2 linked regions of the Macaca fascicularis genome follow. The protein of the gene in region 1 binds, or shares a complex with, the protein of each later gene. Links are inferred from orthologs where the notes say so. Each region holds a gene or a part of one and is shown in the gene's direction. Other genes may lie near its edges.

Evidence for each region.
Region 2: the proteins of FLT3 (region 1) and FLT3LG are in contact, whole or in part, in a crystal structure (PDB 7QDP), measured with the Homo sapiens proteins. The link is inferred for Macaca fascicularis from reciprocal best matches to the Homo sapiens genes FLT3 and FLT3LG. Residues at the interface, in NP_004110.2 of Homo sapiens: Asp180, His279, Gly280, Phe281, Gly282, Met300, Ser301, Thr302, Tyr303, Asn306, Arg307, Met309, Arg311, Ser333; in NP_001191431.1 of Homo sapiens: His34, Ser35, Pro36, Ile37, Ser38, Ser39, Asp40, Lys44, Lys87, Glu99, Asn102, Thr103, Glu104, His106, Phe107.

What each region holds. Positions count from the first base shown.
Region 1 is NC_088391.1:7,957,888-7,961,693, reverse strand, and holds part of FLT3 (receptor-type tyrosine-protein kinase FLT3), read left to right. Parts: intron 1-67; coding exon 68-174; intron 175-260; coding exon 261-393; intron 394-483; coding exon 484-588; intron 589-3,806. UniProt on the Homo sapiens protein: Tyrosine-protein kinase that acts as a cell-surface receptor for the cytokine FLT3LG and regulates differentiation, proliferation and survival of hematopoietic progenitor cells and of dendritic cells.
Region 2 is NC_088393.1:57,427,201-57,431,602, forward strand, and holds the start of FLT3LG (fms-related tyrosine kinase 3 ligand), read left to right. Parts: upstream 1-1,377; 5' UTR 1,378-1,588; coding exon 1,589-1,825; intron 1,826-2,586; coding exon 2,587-2,880; intron 2,881-3,236; coding exon 3,237-3,290; coding exon of another isoform or gene 3,291-3,537; coding exon 3,538-3,681; intron 3,682-4,402. UniProt on the Homo sapiens protein: Stimulates the proliferation of early hematopoietic cells by activating FLT3. Synergizes well with a number of other colony stimulating factors and interleukins. Required for the development of B cells, and dendritic cells (DCs).

The sequences.
Region 1 (3,806 bases):
TCCACTATTTATAAAGTTGCACAGGAATTCTGTTTCATCATCGCTGAGTGACACTCTTTGGTTGCAGGCCCCTTCCCTTTCATCCAAGACAGCATCTCATTCTATGCAACAATTGGTGTTTGTCTCCTCTTCATTGTCGTTTTAACCATGCTGATTTGTCACAAGTACAAAAAGGTAAAAGCAAAGGTAAAAATTCATTATTCTTTCCTCCATCTGCAGAACTGCCTATTCCTAACTGACTCGTCATTTCATCTCTGAAGCAATTTAGGTATGAAAGCCAGCTACAGATGGTACAGGTGACCGGCTCCTCAGATAATGAGTACTTCTACGTTGATTTCAGAGACTGTGACTATGATCTCAAATGGGAGTTTCCAAGAGAAAATTTAGAGTTTGGTAAGAGTGGAATGGGCCAAATGTTTCCACAGCATTTCTTCTCCATTGGGAAATCTTTCAAATGCACGTACTCACCATTTATCTTTGCAGGGAAGGTGCTAGGATCAGGGGCTTTTGGAAAAGTGATGAACGCAACAGCTTATGGAATTAGCAAAACAGGAGTCTCAATCCAGGTTGCAGTCAAAATGCTGAAAGGTACAGTATAGTGGAAGAACAGCAACAAAGATGCACAAAAATGGGAGGCACGGTTTCCCACCCATGCCTTCTTCTTTTCCATCCTTTGAATGGTTACTATTTGCCATGTTTCGAGGCTAAAAATGGAGTGGATTGGGATGAGTGTCAAGCCAGTCATGAGTACAAAATTCAAGTCATAAATACAAAGCTCCACCTCTTCTTCCACTTCTCTCTTTGTTTATTTTTATTTTATTTTATTTTATTGAGATAGGGTCTCACTCTGTCACCTAGGCTGGAGTACAGCAGTGTGATCATGGCTCACTGCAGCCTCCGCCCCCTGGGCTCAGGCTCCTCAGCAGCTGGGGATACAGGCGCGCACCACCACGCGCAGCTGATTTTTGTATTTTTGGTGAAACGAGGTTTCACCATGTTGCCTAGGCTGATCTGAGCTCAAGCTATCTGCCCGCCTCGGCCTCCCAGAGTGCTGGGATTACAGGTGTGAGCCACTGTGCCAGGCCTATTTAGTTTTTATAGGCTTTGATATTTGGGGATACAGTTGCCACAGGCAGAAGTTCTTTCTTCCGTCTGTGTTGTTGTTGTTTTGTTTTATTTTTAGAGACAGGATCTTGCTCTGTTGCCCAGGCTAGAGTGCTGTGATCATAGCTCACTGCAACTTCGACCTCCTTGGCTCAAGCGATCCTCTCACCTCAGCCTCACGGGAGTGTGCCAATACAATTGGCTAATTTTGTTTTTATTTTTTTGTAGAGATGGTGTCTCACCATATTGCCCAGGCTGGTTGCAAACTCCTGGCTCAAGTGAGGCTGTCTTGGCCTCCTAAAGTGCTGGAATTACAGGTGTGGGCTGAAACAGACTCTGGGTAGGACAGTAAATTGGGGCCCTTCGTATCCTCACTTCATTGCTCCATCCATTCCGATCTGGCGTCCAGCCTCATTATTGGCCTCCCCGTTACCACCGCTGACTCAGCAAAAGCACCTCCAGCTGACTCTCTTGCTAAGGTCAACAGTGACCTCAAACCAAGCCTAATGGATATTTGTCAGTCCTCATTACTTGATTGTTCAGCATGAATTGATGCTGTTGACTCTTCTCTCCATCTAGAAACTTTCTTTCTTTGGGTTTTGTGTCGCCGTATTCTGGTTTTCCTCCCACCCCCCTGCCCTTCTCAGTCCTTTGTGAGCTCATCTTCTTCCATCCAGCTTTGGTTGCTGTGGCTGTTTTTGAAACACAGCCTCGCTCTGTCACCCAGGCTGGAGTTCGGTGGTGTGATCTCAGCTCACTGCAACCTCCACTTCCCAGGCTCAAGCCATCCTCCCACTTCAGGCTCCTGAGTAGGGGGAACTACAGGCTTGCGCCACCATGCCTGGCTAATTATTGTATTTTTGGTAGAGATGGGGCTTTGCCATGTTGCCTAGGCTCCATCCAGCTTTTTAGGGGGCATCCCTGTAGGCTTGCTCCTGGACCGCCTTGCATTTCTGCTCCACACACTCAACACAGTCCATCCCCACTATGCCCGTGATGTCCTCCCATACACCAATGGCCCTCATGCTTGTATCTCGCTTTGGAGCTTCAGGTTCACGTATTAAATGTTTGGATGTCTCAAAGTTCCCTTTAACACAGTGTATCCAAGGTGAACTCCCCTAACCCTGGTCCTGCACCAGCGGTCCTCTCTGTGACTGGTAATGAATGCCAGTGAATAAATAACCACATTCTATATAGTTGGGCACACTAGGAACCCGTGACTTTTCCTTGACACCTTCCTCTTTCTAACACCCTGTGAGCCAATCCTATCAGGTTTCCGCTTAGTGTCTCTTGATTCCATCCTTGTCCCTCCATCTCTATTACCACCACCCTAGTTCAAGGCTCTCTCCTGGACGAAAGCTTCCAAAGCAAGTTCCTGTATCCACTCTTGCCTCCCTTTGGTTTCTCCATGCTGAGGTGCAAGTGACAGTGATGAAAGGCTAAGCAGATCAAATGGCTTTCCTACTTCGCATTTCCTCCACCACCCGCATGGCTGGGCCGCCGCCGCCTCCCCAGCTCTTGTTCTCAGCACCCAGAGCACTGGCCTTCTTTCAGTTCCCCCAGCACTGTCCTCCCGCCCACTGTGGGGCCTTTGCACAAGTGGATCCTTCTGCTTCCCCTTCCCCTTTCATGTAGGTATCTCCCACTGCAACCTCAGATCTCAGCTTAAACACCACTTCCTCTGTCTCACACCACAGACAATATTGAAGCCCTTACAATGTGCGACATTAGCTTTCTGCAGACTTTCCCCCGTAGAATCCGTCACCTTTGTCACGACATGTGTTTAATATCCAGTTGCTGTCCCATCTGTCCAGCAGCCCCTGTGCCTCATGAGGGCAGGGTCTGTGTCTGTGGTGCTGTGCCCTCTCCTTTCTCGACCTCTGCACACTCTTTCACAACCCTCGGCACCGTTCTCCTCCCCCTCCACCATGGCCAGCTCCCGTTTTTCTTCAGGACTCAGTTTAGACATTGAATGCTCCTTTCCCCACCCCTCAAAGGCTAAGGTAGCTGTCCCTTTTGACCCTACAGAACCCCTGCATTCCTTTGCCAGTTCGCATTTTTTCTTTTCGTTTTTTTTTTGAGATAGGGTCTCAGTCTGTCACCCAGGCTGGAGTGCAGTGGAGTGATCATAGCTCAATGCAAGCTTGAAGTCCTAGGCTGAAGTGATGGTCTGTCCATGACCTTTCCAGTAGCTGGAACTACACGCATGCACCATCACGCCCAGCTAATTTTTATTTTATTTTATTTTTAAGCAGAGATGAGCTCTCGCTATTTTGCCCAGGCTGGTCTCAAACTCCTGGGTACCAGCAATTCTCCCGCTTGCCTCAGCCTCCCACGATGTTGGGATTACAGGCCCACACCTTGCCTGCCATATTGCATTTATGGCACTGTATTGTAATGGCTTATTTACTTCTCTGCCTTCTCCAGGAGACTCTAAACTCCAGGAAGACAAGAGTTGTGTATTGTTTATCCTTCATTCCCCAGCGTCTAGGATATTGGCTCTTACACAGTAGGCACTCAATAAATACTTATTGAATGACTGAATGAAAGAGGTAATAGTATATGAAAGTGTTTAGAAGAAGCAAAGCATGCCAAAAAATATAAGAGATTATTTTAGCCATGAGGAATAGGACATGAACAAGTGAAAGCCCCGGATCCCTGTCCAGCGTGAAGCTGAAGACATGGTGTATTCCGGGGTCCCA
Region 2 (4,402 bases), on another chromosome or scaffold:
GAGGTGGTAGGGCAGTAGGGCAGGACACACATTGAGGGGCCCCAGGACTTGGTCAGGAAGGAGCTAGAGCAGGTCCTTTGTCCATGGGCCACATGAGCTATTGGGGCTTGTATCTCTGCCTCTCTTTCTAGCCAGATGGAAGGTCTGATCAGTCAGTGCCACAAGGCAGCTAACCCAGGCTGAACAGGAAGTGAGGCAGGCAGAGGGATCAGGGAAGGGAAATGGATGGTGAAGGCCACGACGGGCGAGGCTTTGCTGCAGTAACACACAACCCCCAAATCTGCGTGGGCCACAACCACAACTTTAGTTTGTTCTTACACTCCCTGCGCTCACCCAGGGCTGGCAGGATCCCTGTACTCCTCTGAGTGGCACAGGAAACTTGGCTGATGGAGGCGCTCTCTCCATGCATCCTCCACCATCCATTCCCCAGACCCTTAGACTTCCATCTAGAAGTGACACCTGTCACCTCCACCCTCATGTGATTGGCCAAAGTGAGTGTGGCCATGTCCGAGTTCCCCAGGATGGGGCCTCGAATCCTTCTGCAGGGAAGAGGGGCCAGCAGATGTTTGAGGACAGTCTGCCACGGATCGGATGGGTAAGCAAAAGATTCAGGCCAGGTGTGGTGGGTCACACCTGTAATCCCAGCACATTGGGAGGCTGAGGCAGGCAGATCACCTGAGATCAGGAGTTCAAGATCAGCCTCGCCAATATGGTGAAACCTCGTCTCTACTAAAAATACAAAAATTAGCTGGGCGTGATGGCACGCACCTGTAATTCCAGCTACTCAGGAGGCTGAGGCACAAGAATCGCTTGAACCCGGGAGGTGGACGTAGCAGTGAGAGGAGATTGTGCCACTGCACTCCAGCCTGGGCAACAGAGAGAGACCCCCTCTCAAAAAAAAGAAAAAAAACTTCAGAGATTCAGAGGTCCACAGATGTGGAAGAGAGCTTCTATTTTGTCTCATTTACCACCTCACTTCTCAGTTTGGAGTTGGAGAAACCGAGGCTTAGAGAGGTCAACGGGCTGGCCAAGCTCCCACAATGATAAAGCTAGGGCTAGGGCGACACCTGCCAGGCCCAATGTGACAAGATACATCCTGGGTCCTGTGTGCCAAGCCTTGGCGGGGCAAAGTTGGGGCCCAGAGGATGGTAAGACACAGCAACTCCTAGTTCCCAGAGACAGATCCGGGTTCCAGCCCCAGCTCACCATGCACTGGGCATGCCACCCAGGGAGTCAACCCCACTGCAGCCCCCGCCGCGGGGCGTCCAGGGAACCCACCATCTGCGGCGTGAGCGGCCGCCTCTCACCACCAGGGAGCGCGCTCTGCCTGGGCCCAGATTCCACCCCTGGACTGTCTCCCCCCAAAATTTTCCTTTCACTTTCGGTCTCTGGCTGTCACCCGGCTTGGCCCCTTCCACACCCAGCTGGGGCAAGCCTGGTGCGTGAGGAGACTTGGACTCTAGGTCCCCAAGGGGCGGAGCCAGGGTCCCCACTCCTGGGACAGGGGGAGCAGAGGGTGGGGGGCTGGGTTCCTGGGTCCCTAACCTGGGGAGGGTTCTGGGGACCATCGGGGTTCTTGGAAGTGGAGATGAAGAGTTTTCACCATAACTGGGGCCGACGCAGGAAGCCTGGGGGAGGAAGGGGCGGAAACTCAGCCACATCAAAGGGATGCAGGAGGGGCGGGGAGGCAAAGGGGCGGGCGGGACAGGGGCTGGGGCATGGGGGTCCGAGACTTGTTCTTCTGTCCCTTCCAAGACCCGGCCACAGGAGGCATGAGGGGCCCCCGGCCGAGATGACAGTGCTGGCGCCAGCCTGGAGCCCAACAGTGCGTAAATCCCAGGGACAAGGTCAGGGGAGAGGGGAGGCACAATGTCAGGATGGGGCGGGGGGGGGGAGATGGAGGGGAGGATAGATGGACAGAGGAGGGGGAAATACGAGGGGAGATGGATAGGAGAGGAGATGGACAGAGGAGGGGGAGATGGACAGAGGAGGGGGAGATGGACAGGAGGGGGAGATGGACAGGAGGGGGAGATGGACAGAGGAGGGGGAGATAGGAGAGGGAGATGGACAGAGGAGAGGGAAATAGACAGGAGAGGGAGCTGGACAGGAGGGGGAGATGGACAGAGAATGAGGAGATGGACAGGAGAGGAGATGGACAGGAGGGGGTATGGACAGAGGAGGGGGAGGTGAACAGGAGGGGGAGATGGACAGAGGAGAGGGAGATGAAGAGGAGGGGGAGGTGGACAGGAGGAGGGAGATGGACAGATGGGGAGATGGACAGAGGAGGGGGAGATGGACAGGAGAGGAGATGGACAGGAGGGGGTATGGACAGAGGACAGGGGAGATGGACAGAGGAGAGGGGAGGTGGACAGAGCCAAGAACGAATGAAGAGGACGTGGACCAAGATCAAGAGAGAAGCAGGCAACAGGGGTGTATAAGGCAGAGGGAGGAACAGGACTGGAGGAACCCGGGCGAGGAAAGCAGACGTGAGGATGAGGTGGTTGGAGACAGACGGGCAGAGTGGGGGAGATGGGAAGAGAGAGGGGTGGGGCAGAGGAGGATGCAAACTGGACGGCGTTGGACCAGAGGCAGAGAGAAACCGGGAAAGACGAGCAGAGATGGGGCCACGTCCCCGGAAAGTGTGGAAGAGGCGGAAGGACACCTGGGGAAGGAGGAGCGGGGAAGACAGAACAGTGCAGGTGGGAAGCCCGGAGGAGGGGGCTGTGTGTGGAACAGCGGAGGGCTCCCCTAGCGCCCCCTCCCCTGCAGACCTATCTCCTCCTGCTGCTGCTGCTGAGTTCGGGACTCAGTGAGACCCAGGACTGCTCCTTCCAACACAGCCCCATCTCCTCCGACTTCGCTGTCAAAATCCGCGAGCTGGTGAGAGGCGCTACCCGCTACCCCGGACCCCCTCACGTGATCCCCCTCCCTTTTTTTTTTTTTTTTTTTAAGTAGAGACGGGGTCTCTGTCCCTGTGTTGCCCAGGGTGGTCTTGAACTCCTGGGCTCAAGCGATCCTCCCACCTTGGCCTCCCAAAATGCTGGAATTACAGGCGTGAGCCACTGTGCTTAGGGGTATCCTCCCTCTGTGAAGTCAAAGTTCTGTGACTTCTTCTGGGCTCCCCTCTCTGGCTCTTTTCCCTCTCTCTCCGATTCTCTGCTGCCTCCTCTGGGTCTCCACAGTTCTGTTTCCCGCTGTCTTCAGCCAGGCCTGACTCTGTTTTCTCCCGCATGCAGTCTGACTACCTGCTTCAAGATTACCCGGTCACCGTGCCCTCCAACCTGCAGGACGTGAGTCATGTTGGGAGGGACCTGGGATGGAGGTGGGGACCACAGACTCAAGATGCCCCACCCAGGCGAGTGGATAACCTGGCCCTCCCCTCCCCAAACCCAGGAATCAGAGTCCCCGGCCCCTCCTCCCTCAGACCCAGGAACCCCGGCCCAGCCCCTCCTCCCTCCGGCCCAGCCCCTCCTCCCTCCGGCCCAGCAGCCCCGGCCCAGCCCCTCCTCCCTCAGACCCGGGGGTTCTCCCCACTAGGAGGAGCTCTGCGGGGCCCTCTGGCGGCTGGTCCTGGCACAGCGCTGGATGGAGCGGCTCAAGACTGTGGCTGGGTCCAAGATGCAAGGCTTGCTGGAGCGCGTGAACACGGAGATACACTTTGTCACCAAATGTGCCTTTCAGGTCAGCCCTCAACTTAGGGGACAAGTGAGGGGAGGGAGATGCCTTCGTACGCATTAGAAGTAAAGCTCCGCTAGGCCTTATTGGAGATTTATTTGGATCACAGCCACCCAAGGAAGGTAGAGCGAGAAGCTCTACCCGGCGGAGCTCTGTTCCTGCAGAACAAACACGTCCCCAGGCACCGGTGATGGGGAGCAGTCTGGTCCCATTCTGGGGCCCCGGTTTCCTAGGCCATGATGAAGGGTGCCACTGAGGGGTTCTTCCCCCGAAAAAAACTGGGGAGAAGAGGTCTCTAAAGTGAGAAGACCGCGCGCGGTGGCTCACTCCTGTAATCCCAGAGCTTTAGGAGGCTGAGGTGGGCGGATCACTTTAGGTCAGGAGTTCGAGACTAGCCTGGCCAACATGATGAAACCCCAGCTGTACTAAAAATACAAAAATTAGCCAGGCATGGTGGCTTGGGAATCGCTTGAACCCGGGAGCCAGAGGCTGCAGTGAGCCGAGATCATGCCACGGCACTCCAGCCTGGGAGACAGAGTGAAACTGTCTCAAAAACAAAACAAGGCCGGGCGCGGTGGCTCAAGCCTGTAATCCCAGCACTTTGGGAGGCCGAGACGGGCGGATCACGAGGTCAGGAGATCGAGACCATCCTGGCTAACACGGTGAAACCCCATCTCTACTAAAAAATACAAAAAAAAAAAAACTACCCGGGCGACGTGGCGGGCGC